Drosophila melanogaster: one gene and its partner. The protein of the gene in region 2 purifies or fractionates together with the protein of the main gene of each other region. This does not show direct contact. Each region holds a gene or a part of one and is shown on either strand. Other genes may lie near its edges.

Region 1 (9,929 bases), on a different chromosome or scaffold from region 2:
TTCTACTAGCAAATGTACATTGTAAATTCCTGAATAATTACTGCTAGCAAATGTTATGATTCCACTATCGCCACTTTCCATACTCTGGCTGAACACATTCAACGCTCCCGGCGCAGAGTGTCCACCATTTGAGCATTTCAACATAAAGGGATGGCAGAGAACAGCCTCCAGGGTAATTCGTTCGTGCGGGAGCTTTTTTAATAATTTGTTTATCAGGTCCTGCGCCTCGTAAGACAAGTGAGCCGGCATAATGTACTCGGACATCACAACTTTGTTAAGGGTTGACTGCACTGCATCGGTTTCGAAGGGCGGGCGTCCAACCAGCAGGGTGTACAGCATGCATCCAACGCTCCAGACGTCCGCGGGCAGTCCGTGAGACGTTCGCGATACCACCTCAGGCGAAATATAGTTCGGAGTTCCACACATGGTCATATGGCGCTCATCAGGTCGCTTTAATTGGGTGGCCAGTCCAAAATCGGCTATCTTGACGTGCATTTCCCTGCTAAGCAGTAGGTTGGACAGCGAAATGTCGCGGTGCATGATGTTGTGGGAGTGCAGGTACAAAAGTCCCGCCACCACCTGCTTCAGAATGGAAGCAGCTTCCGTCTCTGTGAAGGGTCTGGCGATGTGGTTCATATAGCGATGAAGCTCCCCATTATGGGCCAGCTCGAGCACCAAATACACATAGTTGGCGTCCTGAAAGAAAGTGTACAGCTGAAGCACAGAGGGATGCTTCAGGCGGGAGTGGATTTCCACTTCCTGGCGAACGCGGTTAGTGAGTCCAGTGCCCTGGATTAGTTTTTTATCGATCTGAAAGCCAGTTTGTGAGTAATACCTTTAACCAACACTATAGCAGTACTTACCATCTTTATGGCCACATCCTGGTGAGTGTGCAGGCACCGCGCCTTGTAGACGGTCGCAAAACCACCTTTACCCAGCAAGTGCTGTACTTCATAGTCCTGCAAAGACAAACAGCGCTTAAAAACTCCGTCCGACTGCCGCCTTCCAGCACACCCACCTCAATTGTTTCTCCAAACGCCCGATTGGATAACATAGCTAGCCTTTTTTCTGTAGACTTACTGAGCCACTTGGAATGTCTTGTTGTTATTTATCAAAAAACTAAAGCCATATAAACAAACAAGCCGAACAAAATTTAAACGCCACCGTTAGTGTTGGGAAATTTTAATGCCACATTAGTGAAGATCATTAGCCAGCACTAATGAGGGCTGCACTATCACCAATATATTTGCGAATTTGTTACTCCAATACAATTTATTTCTTGTTTAAAGAATATTTCACAAAATTATGATATTAATCATTAAAAATTATTTTTATATACGAGTTGATAAGTAAAAGTCAAACTATCAATAATGGCTTCAAAAACAATCATTGCCAGCACTCCCCAGTGTTGCCAGAGCTAATAAAGTATATTTATGAGATATTTATATAAAAAATATTGTTCTCTTTATTTGAACTAAATAGGTGATACATTTGAAAAAAAAAACTTGCTTAGGGCTCAATATTCCACCAACAGCATACTTAAATGCACTCTTCGATCATAGCGTGTTCCCACTGCACTAGCAGTTAATGCAGCCCTGGTGATTAATCGCCGAGAATATTGCCATCCGTTGCAAATGCAGAGAATCATGGCAAAATTATTCTTATGGTTTTACTACCGAAACAATGCCTAATGAGATATGTAACTTGCATTTGAACAAATTCTCTTATATTTAAACCGATCCCACAATAAGCTGAGCCCATTTTCGCGTAATGAATATAATTCGAAATCATAAACAACGTCGGAATATGAGACTCGATAGCCGTGTTATTTAATAATTAAAGGAGTTCAGCGAGTGCGTGCGCCGAGAGTCGTAATAAAGAACAACGTAAGCCGCCAATTTTGCCGGCAATAAAGTTATTAAGAAGTGGTGTTTACATAATTTACTCCCAAAAATTGGTAAGTCCGCAGCAAAGAAAATAAAGTGACCCACATACTTACATTGATACTTATGAATGCATGTATGTATATGAGTAGGTGTTTGCCTTATACATGAAGGCACGCAGACAACCTTGGACTCTCACACACGTCAATGACAAGCAACAGTGCAAAAGTAGTGCTGGAAAGTGTCCTCGAAAATCCTTAATGTCTATTTTAAAATCTATTTTCCTAAGTATCTGAAATTTCGTTTTATAATTGCAATTATCCATCAGCTTCTACGCCACTTCCTGGAACTTTCGCTATCCCCCTTGTTATATTCTTCAGGGTAGTTCATACATGAGCAAGTAATTTAGTGCCAGCAATTAAAAAAGTTCAGATCATGTTTAATCATTTTTCAAAGGGCAATATTCTTTTAGTTTTAAAGAACAAACCAAAATAAAAAAAAGTTTGTTATTTTCCGCAAACACCTACAGTGTGACCAGCGTCTTTGGTCGGTTAAATGACAGTAACACGCGTTCTTCCGCCTTTTGCCCCATACCATTTTCGGTCACACTTGCCACTTCATTATAACCTTAAAATGACAAGTTATAAATTTTTTTTATGTTAATTTTAGTGGAAACCGAACACTAGATTGACTTTTAAAAGCTGTGCCGCAGTGTGCCGAACTTTTTCGATAGTCTGGGCATCTTCGGCGTCTTAAACTGGCACATATGCAAGATAATCATGTAAAGAAATCGTCACACGAATATGTGCTTGTGCTGGTTGGCAGCGATGTAAATAAAATTTAAGCTGCTCCCGAGTAAAATCTTGCCGCAAAGTAAAAAAACTTAAACGCCGAAGTGCCACTTGTAGCAAAAGTTCGCGGACAGCGAAGTCTCAGCACGAACCGTAGAGAACTGAGCGTGGGTCTGCGAGTTCTCCAAGTCCAACCGCCAAGACGCTAAGATGCATGCATCCTCCGCGGCGGCCACTGCACTTGTGGAGTACTCGGACGTCAGCTCAGAGGACTTCTCGGATCAGGAGGCAGGGGACTTGGATGCGGACGCCGGCAAGGGTGCCGGAAACATCAAAAAACCGAAGCCAGCTCCGGATAATCAGTTCTCCAAAGGTCGTCTTGATGCCAAGCCCGATAAAGAGGGTTATGATAACTACAGGTAAGAGAAGGAAAATTGATGTATAAGCGACGGTAACTACAGCCCCTCCATGCAGAAGTAGAAGGGCGGAAGACTCAAGCGACCCAGTGGCGGCCGGATCGAGGCAAACGTCTAGCAGCGAGGCCACGAATCCGCGGGAGGAACCTTCGCAGGCATCCAACACCTCGAAGGACGAGCTGTGGGGCAGAGAGATATACATGTCCAGCGATTCTATCGACACCGATGAGCTGGAGGCGGAAATGAAGCGGCAGAAGCGCAAAAAGCAGAAAAAGGAAAAACACAAACACAAGTCGAAGAAAAAGTCCAAGAAGCGCAAGAAGAAGCGGGCCAAGTCATACTCCAGCATCGATTCGATGTCAGACAATGACATCAATGCCTTACTGGACCGGCGCTATACTCCGCCGACGGCTCCTAGCAAGAGCAACGAACGGACGGTTAGCGCTGCGCCGTCCTCCTTCACCCCACACAACCTCAAGGAGAGCAGTTCGCCAGCCACTCCACCGCCAGTGCGTCGCCCGAATACGAACAGCAACTACTACGGCGAGTCGTCCCTGGAGACGGCCAACTCTGCACTGGGAAGCAACCTGCAGGTCACAGTTACGAATAAGCAGTCGATCAGCAACCGGCTTCGTTCTCCTCCTCCGTCCTCCCGCTCCAGCGGCAACGGGCCGAGGTTTGGAAACTCCCCGCGAACTCCACCGCCCTCTCACTACAGCTCCAGTGGCGGAGGAGGGGTTGGCAGTGGGTCAGTGGTCCGCGATTCACGCAGCTCCCGCTATGTAAATAGTCCCCACAAAGAGGATGTAAGTGCGCATCACCGCTCTAGCCACGATCACGGATATCAGGGACGTTACTCTGGTGCTGGGTCGAGCAGTCACGATACCAGGAAGGTGAAACGACTGTCGCCGGGTAAGTTTGATTTTAATTAAGGCAAATGTGGTTTACTTACTTTGGAAAACTGTGGCAGAGCTGGACCGCTACAACCATCAGCCAAGCACGCCACCCCACAAGCGTCGGAAGTTTAGCGATGGCAGGGAAGTGGGCCTCGGAAACTTTGAGCACAGTAGACACCACTCTGGAAAGTACGAACGATACAGCAGAGATCGATATTCTAGGCGGTCATCAAGGTAACGTTTTTCCTATATTTTATGTGAATAGCTCTAATTACCTACTGACTTCGCTTATTATTAAATACTTTAATTATTTTTGAAGTGTACATATGTGAGTAGTGCAATGGTAATTAGAACTAATTATTTAACTGAAATTGTATTTCGTTATTATTCATATATCTAACAATACAATTTTCCAAACTATATCAAGGAGCCCCAGTGTGCAGCACTCACGAAGTCGGCAATCTCCCAGCGGCGGCCTGTCAAGTGGTTCGAACGCGTTTCGCCATGGTGGCAGTCACAAACACAAGTATGGGACCACTGTTAGCTCGACGCCGTCGCATACGACGAGGACCTCAAAACGCGCTTCGGGAACTGGTACCTCTGGCGATCGCTACTCGAGGTCGCCCAGAACAAGTTCGCGGTACATGGAGTCATCACCGCCATCGCCAGTCGGAGCTTCCGGTTCGCATCACTATCATCATCGCCGTTCGCCAAGGATGCGCCAGAGGACCAGAGGCGACAGTCGTCGCCGGTCGCCCAGTTCGGCCAGCAGCGAAAGTTCTGCCTCTCGCAGCCGATCACCAACGTCAAGAGATCTAAAGCACAAGCGCGAAGAGTACATTAAGAAGATCAGTGAGACTAGCCTATTTGCCGAGCTGGTAAAGGATCGTCACAAAAGGCAGAAGGCGCTGAAGGAAATCATTGAGCGGCAAGAGGAGAACAGCAATAGCAACAGCAACGGTGCACTGACTATTAACGACAACAGTTCCTCCGTGGATGGCAATACACCCAACGCGGCTGATGGCCGATCTGCCCCTGGAAGTGGAACACCAGCAGCGGCGTCAACAACTTCCAATGGGCTTCAAGCTTTGGGTAGCAAGCCGGATCTGGACCTCAACAACATTCCCATGCCAAACAAGCAGAACGATTCTGTGGTTTCGAATCCGGCTTCAAACGCCGATGTTCCGGACAGTGTCGCGCAGTTGAAGCAACCTTTGCTGGTGCCACCGTTCTCGGCTAGTAAGAACAACATAAAACCGAAGAGCCTGACTTCTTTGCCGCTGCCGCCGGGTATGAATGTGCTCGACTTGGCCGGTGCAAGGTCTCCCTCTCCGGGGCAAAAGAAGGAATCGGACGAAAAGAACGTTACTTCAAGCGGCAGCGCCAACAAGAGCGTGCTCAATCTTCCTATGCCGCCAGTAATTCCCGGCAGCGAAGAGCTTAGTGGCGATGATGATGTTATCGACAGTCCTGAAGACTTTGATGCACCCGCGGTTGGCACTGTGCACGGTCACGGTGGTGGGCCAGGGACAACTCGTCAGCGCCCAGTGATACTCAACCGTCGTGACTCGCGAAACAACGTACGCGACTGGGGCGAGCGCTGTGTGGATGTTTTTGAGATGATTGCGCAAATAGGGGAAGGAACTTACGGACAGGTAAAAATGGGATGCTTGGTGGATCTTTTGATTAAATCTGATTTTCTGTCATTTGCTTTGCAGGTTTACAAGGCGCGGGATCATCATACCAATGACATGGTAGCACTGAAGAAGGTTCGGCTGGAGCACGAGAAGGAGGGCTTTCCCATTACAGCTGTTCGTGAAATCAAAATTCTGAGACAACTTAACCATCGCAATATAGTCAACCTGCATGAAATTGTGACGGACAAGCAGGATGCTGTGGAGTTCCGTAAAGACAAGGGATCCTTCTACTTGGTGTTTGAGTACATGGATCACGACTTGATGGGTCTGCTGGAGTCTGGCATGGTCGACTTCAACGAGGAAAACAACGCAAGCATTATGAAGCAGCTCTTGGACGGCCTCAACTACTGCCACAAAAAGAATTTTCTGCATCGAGACATCAAGTGCTCGAACATTTTAATGAACAACAGGTGGGAAGATAATCATTTGGGTGGCTTATGTTGGTGGGTGGCTTAAGTGCACGAGCAGTTCCGCGCATTGCTATCGATATTACCCTTACAAACATACAAAGGCAATATTCATAACCAGCCGTCATTCTCTAATCAATATTATATTATTCTCTGATTGAGTCCAAAAAGGGATTCATTCTTAAACGCTTTGGTGTTAAATAATCCTTAAAGTTTACACCAATTTCTCAAGCATATATTTTCTAAATTTAGTTTTCTTATAATATTTATTGACAATATTGAATTACTTTGCAGGGGTAAAGTAAAACTAGCTGACTTTGGGCTGGCACGACTATACAATGCGGACGATCGGGAACGCCCCTACACGAACAAAGTAATTACCTTGTGGTATCGTCCTCCTGAGCTTTTGCTGGGTGAGGAGCGTTACGGCCCGTCGATAGACGTGTGGTCCTGCGGGTGCATCCTCGGCGAACTCTTTGTGAAGCGGCCCCTGTTCCAGGCTAATGCGGAAATGGCGCAGCTTGAAACGATATCAAAGATCTGTGGATCCCCGGTTCCTGCCGTGTGGCCGAATGTAATTAAGCTGCCTCTGTTCCACACTCTCAAACAAAAGAAGACGCACCGCCGCCGTCTACGAGAAGACTTTGAATTCATGCCAGCCCCTGCACTTGATCTGCTGGACAAAATGCTTGATTTAGATCCGGACAAGCGCATCACAGCAGAAGACGCGCTCCGGTCACCGTGGCTAAGGAAAATCAACCCCGACGAGTGAGTACACATGGTCTTAAACCCTGTGTACATCTCAAGCATGGAAATAACTTTATATTTTTGCAGAATGCCAACGCCACAATTGCCCACATGGCAGGACTGCCATGAGCTTTGGAGTAAGAAGCGCCGTCGGCAGATGCGGGAGCAACAGGAGTCGCTTCCTCCTACGGTGATAGCCTCGACCAAATACCAACAGCATGGAGCAACCATGGTGGGGGATGCTTAGCATTTGCTGTTTGCTTCGCTACTTAATGTGAAGGAGAGCTACATACAGCGTGAAGGCGAGGAGTGTTCCTGGTGGCACTAGTAACTAGCCGTAACTAGCAATAACGTAACCAATAAGGGATTCTGTTATCCCTGGACAGGGCCAGAATAGGTTGACTTAGACTTGCTCTAGCTCTGTCGAGTTAAAGACAGCTTCAATAAAGTCTTGGCTACATTTATAAAATGCTTTATATGTTGGGAAAATTGAATCAATCGCTGTATAAACGAGATGTTATATATTCGCAAAGATAAATATTTTAAAAATGATTTTATACATATTTTACTATTCAATTTAATTGCTATTAGTTTTTTTATTTTTGAATAAACTGGCAATCTGAAGACAACGTGCATGATCGAGAATAAAAACTTCGCGTAACGAAATTGTAAACTGTTAACACAGTACGTATTCGCAACAGCAAAGGCGATTTGTAAGTGACCATGTTTCAAAGCTACGAAATAAGCATATATAACGAGCAGTTAAAGATTAGCATTTTAATTATAAAGAACTTGTTAAATAATAATAGACTACAGATAGTGTATTGACTAGTTTAGTTTATTGTTAAGTATGTAAGAAAGGTGTAAATTATAAATGAATTTATCAAGTAAATATGTACTATGTATTTACCCAAGCACAGGCATTTGATAAGTTTATATTTTAATATGATGTTAGAACGCACACAGCATCAGATTTACTTTGCATGATGTGCGTGAGACTGAAATCAATTCACTTTAAATTGTGTAAATAGGTTGAACATTTCTAACATTACACACGATCAAACAAAATTACAATCTCCAAATGCAAATCAAATTGACTAAATTCATTATTGGTACATAAAATCCTACCCAAATAAAAGTTAAACATACGAAGTGTACTTTAAATTAATTGATAGCTGATTCGAATATTTTTCTCTTAATGTGAAATAGATTAAATAGATTTTGAAAGGTGTAAACGGTTTTCATTTAAGAAATCAATTACCAAGTGGGAAATTGGTCCTAAAGTTATCCATTTTTTCTGTGCCAGGTTTTTAAGACTAAGATATGATCAATCACTTTACAGGAAAAAAATTTTTTTTTTAATAGAAATAGTTTTTGTCACAAATGTATTCAACATATTATTAAACAAAAAGTTTCAAAAGAAGGGCCACCAAAATTTATGTAAAATTTTCTATAGCTGTGCCGTTAATTACTTAAAATTTAATTATATTTCAAAAATAATAAAAAATCATGTGGTATAGTTAAGTTGAGTTAGAAAAAGTGTTCATTTAAATTTGAAAAGCATATTAGCGATACGGCCACTCAAAGTAAGAAATCTGGTATTTTTATCGTTCGTGAACAAACGAAGTGATTCGGTATTTTCGAAAGGTCCCACTAAGTGCAGCATATATATAAATGCGTTTCATCATCAGATTTGTATGTATATTGTGTCAGTTCGCCTTTGTTTTTTAATTGCTAGTCCGTCAATTAAGAAATGCTTTTACGGTGTGTGTCCAACTAATCGGGATAACCTTTCCTCGGGACGAGCCCACTGGAAGGGCTGTTTGGGAGCATAAACAATGGAAAGGGTTGCATCTGTGGGAGCGTGTATGTTTGTATACGTATACCCACACCATTGTTACGATGCACCTGGAAGGCCAAAAGAGAAATGCAGTGGAAAGTGTATTGTTGCAGTGTGTTAGCGATCCTGGCCAGCTGAGTGGCTGCGCGGATTAGACACAGTGCTATCCGGTTCTACACAGATACTGGCGATCCAGGGTTTGGCCTGGTGTCTAGACATTTTGAAAAGAAAGTGAGGAAAACAGTGTGTGCGTGTATGTAAATAGATGTATTTTCCCATTCCTTTGTACCGAAAACAAAGCAAAGTTGATTAATACGAGCTAAGACAGTCGGGGGCGAAAGTATTGGCCAAAACAGATTCCTTAAATTTCTCTCTTCTCAAGTGCTCCAAAATAAGCTTATCGTCAAACTTTAGCTGCTATCTGTTATGACGTAGTAAAATTTGTAAGATTTTAAAATAAGGTTATTCATTGTTGATGTCAAACTTTTACGATTCCTGATAATTTTTTGCATATGTCCAGCTATTTTAGGAGACTAATATTTCTTGCAGTACTGAATTTAATTAAGGGATAGTTACAATTGCGTTCTATTCCACAACAGACCCCATTGTTTGAAGTCTATGATATGGGGGTGCACTTTTGCTGGTGGTGTGGGTGAACCAGTTTTCTCCCATGGAGCATTAAAAATTATAGAGGTAATTTTACAGTCCAAAAAAGAAATCGCATGAGTATGAGTAAGAAAACTCCATAACCTTTAAATGCGACACAATCAAAACAAAAGTGTTGTCGAAATTTCAATACAAGTCAAGACTAGTTGAATCATACTAAATGTGTTAAACAGTATAAAACTTTAGCTTTGAGATAATATAATTTAACTTTTCTAATTTCCCTCGGTTTCCCAAGTATATGAATGAAGCCATGCCAACATTTTAGTCAACGACTGTGCGGCCATCAGCTAGGGATGTACATACGCAAGTAAAATGCATGTACATTGCACTTACACATGTATATACATACAAATGTAATGTGTAGGAAAAAAAAGAGCCGAATGAAAATACCCTTGATTTTGATATTGATTGATTTTGACTATTGACGAGATTAGCAGACTCGATAAGTGGCTCTCTCATTTTTGGGTAGTAATATTTGTAAGGAAGCTTTTAAACAAGATACACCACAAACTGCACTTTCCATAGCAGCGGGTTAAAGGTCGAACCACGAAACAAAGTTACATATAAAGCCCCAAATGAGGCATTA
Region 2 (10,668 bases):
TATGTGAAATGGAATACACCTATTGACCATATTGCTGCTTAGCCGAAGGATACAATCGATTATTCGTTTTGCTCATTTCTATCGATACTAAACCTAACTAAAATACGATAGGAAGCCTAACTTAAATGATCAAAAAATTATTTTACCATATCTTTGCCATTTCATTCAATATATTGAAAGGGTATCTGATATATGTGGAAATTCTTTTGTATTAGCTGTTAAATACGCCTATTGTCAGAGGAGTCCAGAAAAGCAATAAATTGAAAGAGATCAAAACTGGTGAATACTATTTGTCGTAAATTTAGCTCACCTGGTATATATATCATATATAATTATTTATTTATTTATTTATTATGATAGGTAGAATAGTTTACAATACTAGACTAACTTAAATAGTAAGCATAAGCTACAGCTATATTGATCTACAATGCTATTATATCTTTATCTACTTTATATCTAATTTGCTAAATATATCATATATATGCCTTTTTATCCTCTTCCGTTGCAGCGAAAACTTATTATACAAGAATAAAGAATCCGCATAATCTTTTTACTGAAACAATTAGCTTTAAATTAGTTGCCTTGCATTTTATCATTGAAATTGTTAACGTTCACGCATCAATTGGGCTGTGTGAATAGGTCGCATAATTGTTTTGGCATTAATTATTTTAAGAGGCTGTCGACGGTTTTTTTTTACCGTTATGCCATCTGGTAACACTGCCCAGGCCGCAAATGGAATGGATTTTCGAGAGCTAGATAAATTAAACTGGCGTTTGCATCTGAGTAACAATAACAATATCGTTAATTATAGTGCGAACCGACACCTCGGTCCTGATGCGGCTGAAGAGCGACGCCCGGAGCTCTTAGTCAGCCAAGTCAATTGTGGGACCGGTGTAAATACAATGGGCACAAATCAAAAACGAGCAGCAACAACATCAGCGCAGGCCGTAGCGGTGGACGAGCAGGTCGTGGGAGCCGTGGGTGGTGGCGGGGCAAAGGCAGAGGAGTGCCCTGCAGCGACCATGGCCGCAGAGGATGGTGATAAGGCAAGTGACTGCCGCTTTAAGCACAAAAAATTATGTTGATTATGTTATGTTCTGTTTATCCTTTAAAAAGGTGGAAAGTCCTTCTTACTGCGAACTGGATCTGGACGTGGCAAGCTACGGGCTAGCAGCAGCTGCCCTCTCATCCTTTGAAGCCGCCGCCTGTGGCTATAATTCCAGCCGAACTTCCATAAACAACTCAACCGAAAACCTGAGCTATGCCAGTGACAATATTTACGGCGACGATATAATTTTGCTGGACGACAACGACATGAACGCGGAGGAGATATCTATCAACTCCGACGACTGCGTCTACGCTTACCGTGGTGAAGGGGCTGATTTTGACATGAACATGGATATCATCGCCACGGGAAGGGTTGGCGGGCAACACTTCGACCTTGGCCGAGGACCAGTGAATGCTATGGGAGGCGATAGCCTCATTTACGGCGAAGATGAGACGGAGTTTCTTGAAATGGACTTTGAGCCAGACCCCTCATCAGAGTTGGAGCTTGTTGGCGGAACCACCGATATGACCATCCAGCCTCAGGCCAATTTGTTGTTAATGCAACGCGACTATAGCCAAATGAACAGCATAGGCGGAACTACTTCTACGCAGGAAGGAAAGCTGCACAGCTCGCCCATAGATGATTTTCCGCAGGAGGACCTAATGCAGCAGCAAAAGCTACGCCTTAGTAAGAAGTTCGCGCGCATCAGCTTGAATTTAGATAAAATCAAAGACGTTGGTGCTGGTGGAAGTGGCGTGGACATAGATTTAAATGAGCTAATAGTTATTGGCTCGGAAAAGCAGGCTGAATCCTCCGGAAGCTTTCGGTCAGTGAAGTCTTATCAGGCTCATTCCTTGCCCAACACATTGCACACAGGCTCAAATTTTTCGCGCAGCACTAGTGTCCCCAGCGAACACCCAGAGCCTAAGCTGACTGGTGCTAAGCCAAAGCGTTTTTTGCACACCTCGTCTGTGATGACTAAAAGCTCCTCATATAAGTCGCGGCGCTCTCATACATCAGCTAGCTTTGATGAACGTTGCTACAGCTGCACTGATTTCCGGGCAACAACATGTCAGCAGCAACAGTCAGGGTCGAAGTCAAAGCAAGATCAAGTGCCTCCTATACTGGTGGCTCCTGCGACTGTTGGGGCTTTGACCACGTCTTCTTCGTGCACGGGCCAATTTGACTTGGGAATAACCGAGGAGAACTGCTTAGACTGCCTAGAAAAGGAGTTCTTGGCCAATACCATAGGCAAAGTCGTAGACCCGGGAACATGTCCTAAGTGTCGTAGATCAGCTGGCAGTCGGGGCAGTAGTATTTCGCTTTACTCACGGTCGGACCAGGTTCGCTGTCGAAGCGGGTCCCCAGTATACTGCTATGGAGGTCCGTTCGCCGGCTGGCACAGCTTAATAGCAACCGGAATTGTTTCTGGTTCCAATTTGGGTCCACCCTGCAACCAAAGGTTTATTTCGTGTGATAATAGTTTCAACGGTCTACAGGTATGTAAACGCATGCTATAATAATTGTGTATAATGAATTTACCCGCTCTCGCGAATAGCTCCTCAATCAAGGCTATCTGACTGAGCCACTGGTGGCAAGTCTGTCTACAGGAAAGACGTGCGACGAGGAGCACCTAGTGCAAGCGCTAGATAAACTGCGCGTACCCTATGACAGGGAGCTACTTCATGGCTATTTCAAGCAATTGGCCAAGCGGCGACGGACGGAAAGTAGTGTCAATCTCAAGCAGCTATTAATACAGGCCTCAAAGCAGCAGGGAAACCATCGCAAGCTCAAACGGTTGATCGAGATGGCGACCCACCAACAGCTTATTGTACAATTTAAGGGGGTAAAATCAAATACATATTGTACACACTTTTTTAAACTAATGCAACACATTTTTCAAACAGAAAGCTGCAGACAAAACTGAATGGGTGCCTATAAATGTAAGGGACATACTTAATGCCTGGGCACGTTGTCGAGATCTTTCCCTCCTTCAGCAACTAGATGACCGCTTTCATTGCGCAAACGTGATGGGTAAGATGTTCTATAGAGTTGTTTTTTCATAGTTTGTATATAAAAGTTTTACTCGGTATTGATATATTACATATTTACATATTCAGTAAGAAAAATGTTTTCTAATCATAAAATAGAACGCTATAGTCGGCTTCGCCGATTTTAAGATACCCGTTACTCAGCTAGTAGAAATGCGATCGCGAAATTTCATAATTTTTCTGGAATATCGATAGATATACAAATATATATATATGGATTAGTAAGTATTGTTACCCCTGACACAGAGACACTAAACAAGTTCTTTTCTTTAATTGTAAACTAATGAAATTTTGCCAATATACGCAAGAGGGAAGCAATTTGACCTTAATTAGGCTAGTCCGTGAGACTACATAATTGCTACCCTAAGAACTTTAGGGAAGTCAATTAATGACGAGAGAATCTTATAGTCGATTTATTCAAATTTCAGATTTCCGTTACTTAGCCAGTGGGCGTAACAATTTTTGTAAGGTTAACGCAGAATACAAGTCATTTCAAATTGTATTAAATTGTTATTTTTTTTTACAAAATAACATTCTATTTTTTTCAGGAAAGGTTGGTCACATCGTGCGTCAGGCAACAGTAGCAGCATCCACACAAGCACAGGCATCGTCGTCAACCTCCTTTTGTAAACGCACCCTGCCCGAATATTTAATGATCCCGCAGTATTACATGAGTGGGGTACTGACTCTAACCCGCAAATGTTAGGACGTATTTGCACAACCACTCATTTATTTTCACATTAAGCCGGATACACATCATCTCTCTAGAAGTGCTTAGCCCAGTTTTATTGTTTAATTTTTTTTAATAAGTCATCTTCCATATTAAATCAGGTGATCGCATGGCCGTGACCCACCGCTTAAGTCGGGTTCAAAAGTCTCTCCGCTCTAAAAAAAAAAGAAAATAAAGAAACTCAAAGTTTAGTTGGTGTTTAAAGCTCAAAAATGTTTTCTATGTAGGCCATAATATACAGGTATCAATACAAATATATGTATCTGCCTCGCCTATCAACGCCTTATATTGTAATGTGCATATTTGTTTACGGAATACGTAATACATATGTATGTATGTACATATGTACATATACATATGTAATTATACCCGTTACTTGTAGAGTAGAAAGGTATACTAGAGTCGTTGAAACATATGTAACAGGTACATAGTTTTCCGGTCATATAAGGGAAATATATAGCATTCTCTCTTGTTTTGTTATTCGAATTTTGCATTAGATTGTTTTGCTAGCGAGTGAGCGCCATGCGTTAGAAATAATTGTGACACAGAAGCCTATTTAAAACAAACATGGCCAGCAAGGGTAACATAAGGTCACAGTTTTTTAATTGTTTGACAGCAAGAATTTTTAACGACTGCAATCCAAGTGCTTAAACTTTTCTCATAAGGCTGGCTGTGTTCTGCACGTCGTTCAAGGGCCGTGACGCAACATAATTGCTACTGCAGATTTTTGGATAATATAAATAAAAATAATATAATAAAAAACATTTTCTAACTCAACTCATCTCAGTTGATCATCATCTTCCTGAATTCTTCTTTCGTCTTCGTTGTTACCCGCCTTTCGTTTTTAATCTTACTTTAGCGTTATATATATATACATGTCTGAAAACAAAACAGTATGAGATACACACCACACATATATTGGAAAAAATATTTCTCGGATTGGTGGGCCAGCTCAAAGACAGGAAAAAGGCTCTACATTCGAATTAAGACAATCAGAATTTTATTATACTCTATGCTTTTTATAAGAAAGGGATCTTGCAAGCGGTTTATAACTACATTGAATTAGCTGATAAGTTTCTACTAAGAGTTCCCTGCGTATAGAACGACATATTTCTTGCTGGTCCAAATTTTTGTGTTGCTTTAAAACTCACAAGTTAGTTTCTAGCACGTATGAATGTCACTGTTACTTTACAACGAATCTAGTATACTCTCTCTATACGAGTCACGCGTATAGTTAGTAAGCCGGCTACTAAAAAACAAATCAAGAATTTCTGCTGTTTTAAATTTAAAATTCAATCTTCTTTAATTACTTATTTAACACTTCAACGGCCAGGAGAATGTTATTTTTCAGGTAAAAGTGTTAGTCCAACACGGACTATCGTTTTTCAGGTCGTGAACGACTTACTGGCATAAACATGTTCTGTCCAGTTGGCTATATAGCATTACCACTTACCCAAAATTTGTTGTCTTACACAATTCTGTTGGCATAAGCATATTATGTGAATCTTAACTCTTACTCTTAAGTACTGTTAGATTTACTCAATAAAATTAGTTGGAGTATTGACAAGTACGATCTTAATTTATTCCCTTCGACAGAGGTGGTCCTATATCATAACGACTTGAAGACTTGAACTGTACAGAACTGTATGCCAGGCATACTAGTAGAGCACAAACAAATGCAAACTTTTAATCCAGTCAGAACTGGCTTTTGTCTTTCACAAGGTCGACAAACGTGTAGATCCCTTGACAAAAACTCAGCTTCATTGGAAGTACCATAGCATTCTGGCGAAAAACATCAACGGAAGACCTTTCCTGCAACATATATGGCAATAAGTGGGTAGTGATCAGAACACAATGTAAATTTTAGTCTAATAGATTATGCCCTAGCTTTAAACCTTAATATATAATATAAAACTTTCCTTTTCCTATTGCACTATTTATTTAGATGTGTTATTTAGCCCTTGATAAAACGGCAATAAGTAATACTCTAAAGCTTATTCATATTCTTCATATTGATATTTATATAATATTTTATTATTTCTGAGAAATTATTTCTGCATTGAAAAATTTATGTATAACCGCAAAAATATTTTGTTAATTTTTTCGTGTTTTACCACTATATTTGCAATTGTTATAAAAATGAAGTATCCGAATACCTGGTCTAAATATAGCCAACTTACGGTAAAGCAACACTAGAATAATACCAAACTAAAATTATTTTGTTTAGTTAATTTATAAATTACTAAAATTATCATAGTGTCTTTGGTGAAATAGAGGTCCTTGGACCTAGAGCGCGGGAGAACTAAAAGTCAGCTAGATCTTTTAGCGAAAAGATCGAGACGTTTGTAACGAAGCAAGTCAACGAACTGAGACAAAGTAGTTGATGTTTCGAAAGCAGAGCGCGGTAAGTATCACATCAAAGAGCCTGGTTTCAGAGAAATCGACTTTATAAAATTTGAAAGATAAAAGGAAATTAATTATTTTTAACACCATTTAAAAATTAAATTAAATTGAAGAACATCGAACAAAGTCAATAATATTATTTTCGAACATTTTCGTCTTTAGCCTGGAAAACGAAACCGTTGGCCTACGACATAATTATATTTATAATAAACATACGAATCGAGGTAGCCTGGGCAGTCGTTATTATTCCAAGTGTACCATGGGCAAGAATAAAGTCCATGGAAACTGCAAAACTGCACTGTTGTTTCTGATAGCCGAGCAATCTTCGCACACTATGTATCATTCCAAAAATTATTCAAACATCTAAAGAGTTATTATACCCATTAATCGTAGAGTAAAAGGTGCAAGATTCGTTGTAAGTATGTATGTAACAGGCAGAAGGAAGCGTTTCCGACCATATAAAGTATATATATTCTTGATCAGGATCAATAGTCGAGTCGATCTGGCCATATCTGACTTTCCGACTGTCCGTCTGTCCGTATGAACGTCGAGATCTCATGAACTATAAAAGCTAGATGGTTGAGATTAAGCATACAGTTTGCGGAGACACATAGCGCCACACTATTTAAAAATTTTTAGATTTTTCTTCGTTTTATTGTTTGACTTGCCAATTTTTATCTGCATACCAAAAACACTGGCCACGCCCCTCCTTTTACATACAAAACCCCCAAAACTGCCACGCCCACACTTTTGAAAAATTGTTCTCACATATTTCTCATGTTTATCTTCCACTGTTATAAACTTCGCCGTTACTCCAATTCCGCTTTGTCTCAACGTTTCGCCAATTTTAATAAGAATCTATTTTTGTTAGTGCCCCAATGTCCAAAATATTTTTTTCTAGTTCATTTGGTTTTATTCAGTTTTGGAAACATCATTTCAGCAAAATTCTGCTAACAAGTACATGTGAAAGGGTAAGGACTTAAAATAAGGGAATAAAAATCATTGATAAATACCCCGGGACAATATTGGGCCTAGAGTGTAACCAAAAAAGAAAACCGAACCGTACGAAGATCCCCGCTCTAAATCCTATTCCGAACGGTTCGCTAGTTTTAATATACAAATTTTTTTTACTTGTTTATTAGTCATTGCATCTACTAGTAGCGCTGCTGCGATGGACGCCCACCGGCGTTGTAGTATCCACTGGCTCCTGGAGGCAAGCTAGGCGGCATTGGTGGTGGTGGTGCAGCGCTCCCGCTATAGTGTCCGACCACTGTCTGCTGGACTCCCCATCCGGAAGAGGGGTACGGCGGCATAGGCACTACCGGCGGGGGCGGCGGTGGAGGAGCATGATAAATGTGGTACCCGGATGGCTGACCTGGTGGTGTTGGGCCCTGTAACAGGTTCTGGGAGTCGCTAGGACCAATGATTGGCACGCCACTGGCTAGGGATTTAATGCTCTGAATGTTGCTAACTTCCAGCACGCCACCGTTGCCACATACGGGGGGCGGCGGCTGTTGTGGAACGGAAAGTGGTCCAATACCCGTAGAATTGGTAAGCTTGCCGGATTTTGGACTGTCGGCTCTGCTTGGTGGCTTTTGGGGCGGACTGGTTGGCTGGAGCGCTTCTTTTTGGGTTGATTGGTACAGGTCCAGAACTTGGTGGCAGATGTCTTCGAGTATTTCCATCGTTACATCAGACACAAACATATCCCACCAACGCTGCTGCTGTGGCTGGCGGCCCTCCCAGTCTTGCACAGTGAATTTGCTTAGCTTGCTGGCCAAATGGATAAGAGCCACGGCGATAATCTCCGGCTCCCACTGTAGACAAACTACTGTGCTGAGAGAGTCGTTGACGAAGTTCCACGCCATTTGCACCATCTTTTGCAGCTTCTGCTGGTCGCCTTTGAAACACTTAGCGTACTTTAGGAGAAAGGTGTAAGGATGCTCTACTTGCAAATCGAATTTGATGGTCTGCAGCAGAATACGCTCTAGCGTCATCACCTCCTCCTTAGGGTCGTCGCCAAACGAGTAGAAGTAATTGTCGGTAAGGATGCCACGCGCAGTTTTAATAATGTCGCGACACTTCTTTGGCGTCTCCTCCACCTTGCCAGCAAAGAACAGGCAGCAGCACGCAGTCACGTACCGGGGGAAACTCCGGAACGAATGAAACATGTAAAATCGGTGAAAATATACAACGCCGGTGGCCATCGTGTTGTGGCCCAAGCCCATTTTGGTGCCACATTCCATAATAAATCGAGCACCTTCTTTTCTGTACCGCCGCTCCGTTTCGAAGCTTATTCCATCCAAGATCGAGGGCGTCTCCCGCAGCTCCTTTTTGTCGTAATACCAGCACGGCATCGCGGCAATTTAGGCTGCGGGTACTACCAGTAGTCCGCGTCGTTGGAAGGAATTTGTGTTAAACCTTTAGCCAAATGGTTGTCAGCATATGCGCGTCCTGGAGCCGATAAGCGCTTTTGTTTATTGTAAATAAATCAGTTTTCGATTTTTATGTTCACTTGCAGTGTTACCATGTCTACGACGATGAAGAAAAAAACTTTATTGGAAGCCCCTTTTACACCAAGACCACGACGATTTTGAGTATATGGAACAACTTTATTGGTAAATAGATAACGCAAAAATTTTCGATCTCTTGCGGGTCAAACTGAATATTTTTTGTGCGTTTGCTAGTTTTGGTGACTTAATTTTGGGATATAATTAAACAGATATATTTACACGTGGTTTTGGCCGTCCTTTGACTGTTACGAGGAACAAATGGGATGTTTACACTGGAATCGCATTTCCATGTTTTGGAGATATCAAACCAAGCATAGGGATTAGTGATGGGAATTGCGCAATTTGTTTTGTTGTTAAATGGTATATTGAAATAATTCATTATGTATAATCCTACTGGATAACAAGTATTTCAATTTAAAGCATAGATAGCATTCGTTAAACATTATAAAATGTAATAACAAGATTATGAGCAGTGTAAGCGCTTTCTATTTAATAGTAATTACTTCTAGTAATGTGGTGATGAATTTATTATAACCGTTAGTCGTATTTTCGTATTCCGACCATTTAAGGTATATATATTCTTGATCAGGACCAATATCCTAGTCGATCTGACTATAATTTAATTAGTCTTTTTAATTTCTATCGATTTGTCAATAAAATTTTTGCCACGCGCACTCTAACGCCCTAATGCCACACTTTGGAACAATTTTGAAATTTTTTATCATTTTATATCCCATTATCTATCGATATTCCATAAAATTGATGCAATTTCGCGTTTGTATTCACACTAGCTGGTAACGGTTATTTGATAGCCTTGGAACTCGACTATAGTATTCTTTCTTTTATTATTAATATAAACGCGAGTGATGGCACTATAATTTTATTATGTTTCTATATTTTTTATGTTTCTATAATGTGTGTTAAATTCTTAAAAATCGATATATATCACTCAAATTACATAATAATGGAAAACCGAAACGTGAGCTTGATAGAGCGAAACAACCAAATCAGTCGAGATGCTTCTTTTTAACGTAGAAAATGTTATGTATATTTTTCTTTGAATCATGCACTTAGGCTAGTGAACATATTTTCAAACCTTACCGCTCAAGTGATCATTGACTTAAATAAAATTTTACAAAACTCAAAGAACATCCAGCAGCACGCAGACACGTATCAGGGGAAACTCAAGAATGAATGAAACACGTAAAATCGGTGAAAATATACAACGCCGGTGGGGATCGTATTGTTTTAATAATATTATATTTTTTAATGAAGTACAGATAATATGGAATTGACTTTGATTGAATTTAAAAATGTATATTAAAATTTATCAGTGATAACAAACATTTTATATTTCTTTCACCAAGTGATTCAGTATATGTATACAATTCTAGTATTTTAACTTCTATTTAACGAGCACTTAGGGAATGTGAATTTCCGTCATTCGACTGCGCCAATTGCATGCTAAGTATTTGGTTGCGGTTAACAACCAAGGCCGGAGTACCCCCAACGTTGAAAACTATCTACGTCTCACAAGACAAGCAATTACGATCTCGAACTTCAAAAAGGTAAACAAACCCAAATGTTGTGCAAATTCTAACGTTTGATCACCCCTGATCGCAGATTCCGTCTATGCGGATTGTGTTGTTATCCTGGGAAAGCTACAAATACCGCGTATAAATTTGCTATATTCGTAATTGGGTTCGAAGCTAAGCGATGCCCAGCCTACCAGTTCGGCGTACACGGAAGGATTCCCAATTGGAGAACGATGACGATCTTGGTCGTATTGCCCAAATTTATCCCACCTATGCTACACTCAGGTAGATATTTTTGGATCAGCCGCAAATTTCCTGGCTTGGCTATGTCAAATGACTTAATCGACATTTGATTTCACGGTTTTATTTATACGGACATACATACATG

What was found.
Region 1: the proteins of CycK (region 2) and Cdk12 purify together in Drosophila melanogaster (affinity purification with mass spectrometry; 2 studies listed by BioGRID). This does not show direct contact.

Annotation. Positions count from the first base shown.
Region 1 is NT_037436.4:21,514,698-21,524,626, forward strand, and holds Cdk12 (Cyclin-dependent kinase 12), read left to right. Parts: upstream 1-1,608; 5' UTR 1,609-1,957; intron 1,958-2,489; exon of another isoform or gene 2,490-2,552; 5' UTR 2,553-2,884; coding exon 2,885-3,093; intron 3,094-3,148; coding exon 3,149-4,002; intron 4,003-4,060; coding exon 4,061-4,220; intron 4,221-4,413; coding exon 4,414-5,641; intron 5,642-5,704; coding exon 5,705-6,093; intron 6,094-6,384; coding exon 6,385-6,858; intron 6,859-6,924; coding exon 6,925-7,084; 3' UTR 7,085-7,459; downstream 7,460-9,929. Other genes in the region: Sak kinase, read right to left, coding at 42-810, 864-959, 1,019-1,054. UniProt on the Drosophila melanogaster protein: Cyclin-dependent kinase which displays CTD kinase activity: hyperphosphorylates the C-terminal heptapeptide repeat domain (CTD) of the largest RNA polymerase II subunit, thereby acting as a key regulator of transcription elongation.
Region 2 is NT_033779.5:22,121,135-22,131,802, forward strand, and holds CycK (cyclin K), read right to left. Parts: upstream 9,009-10,668; 5' UTR 8,590-9,008; coding exon 7,387-8,589; 3' UTR 3,806-7,386; coding exon of another isoform or gene 3,648-3,805; 3' UTR 3,151-3,647; downstream 1-3,150. Other genes in the region: CG3651 (uncharacterized protein), read left to right, coding at 738-1,046, 1,117-2,547, 2,607-2,894, 2,956-3,082, 3,648-3,805.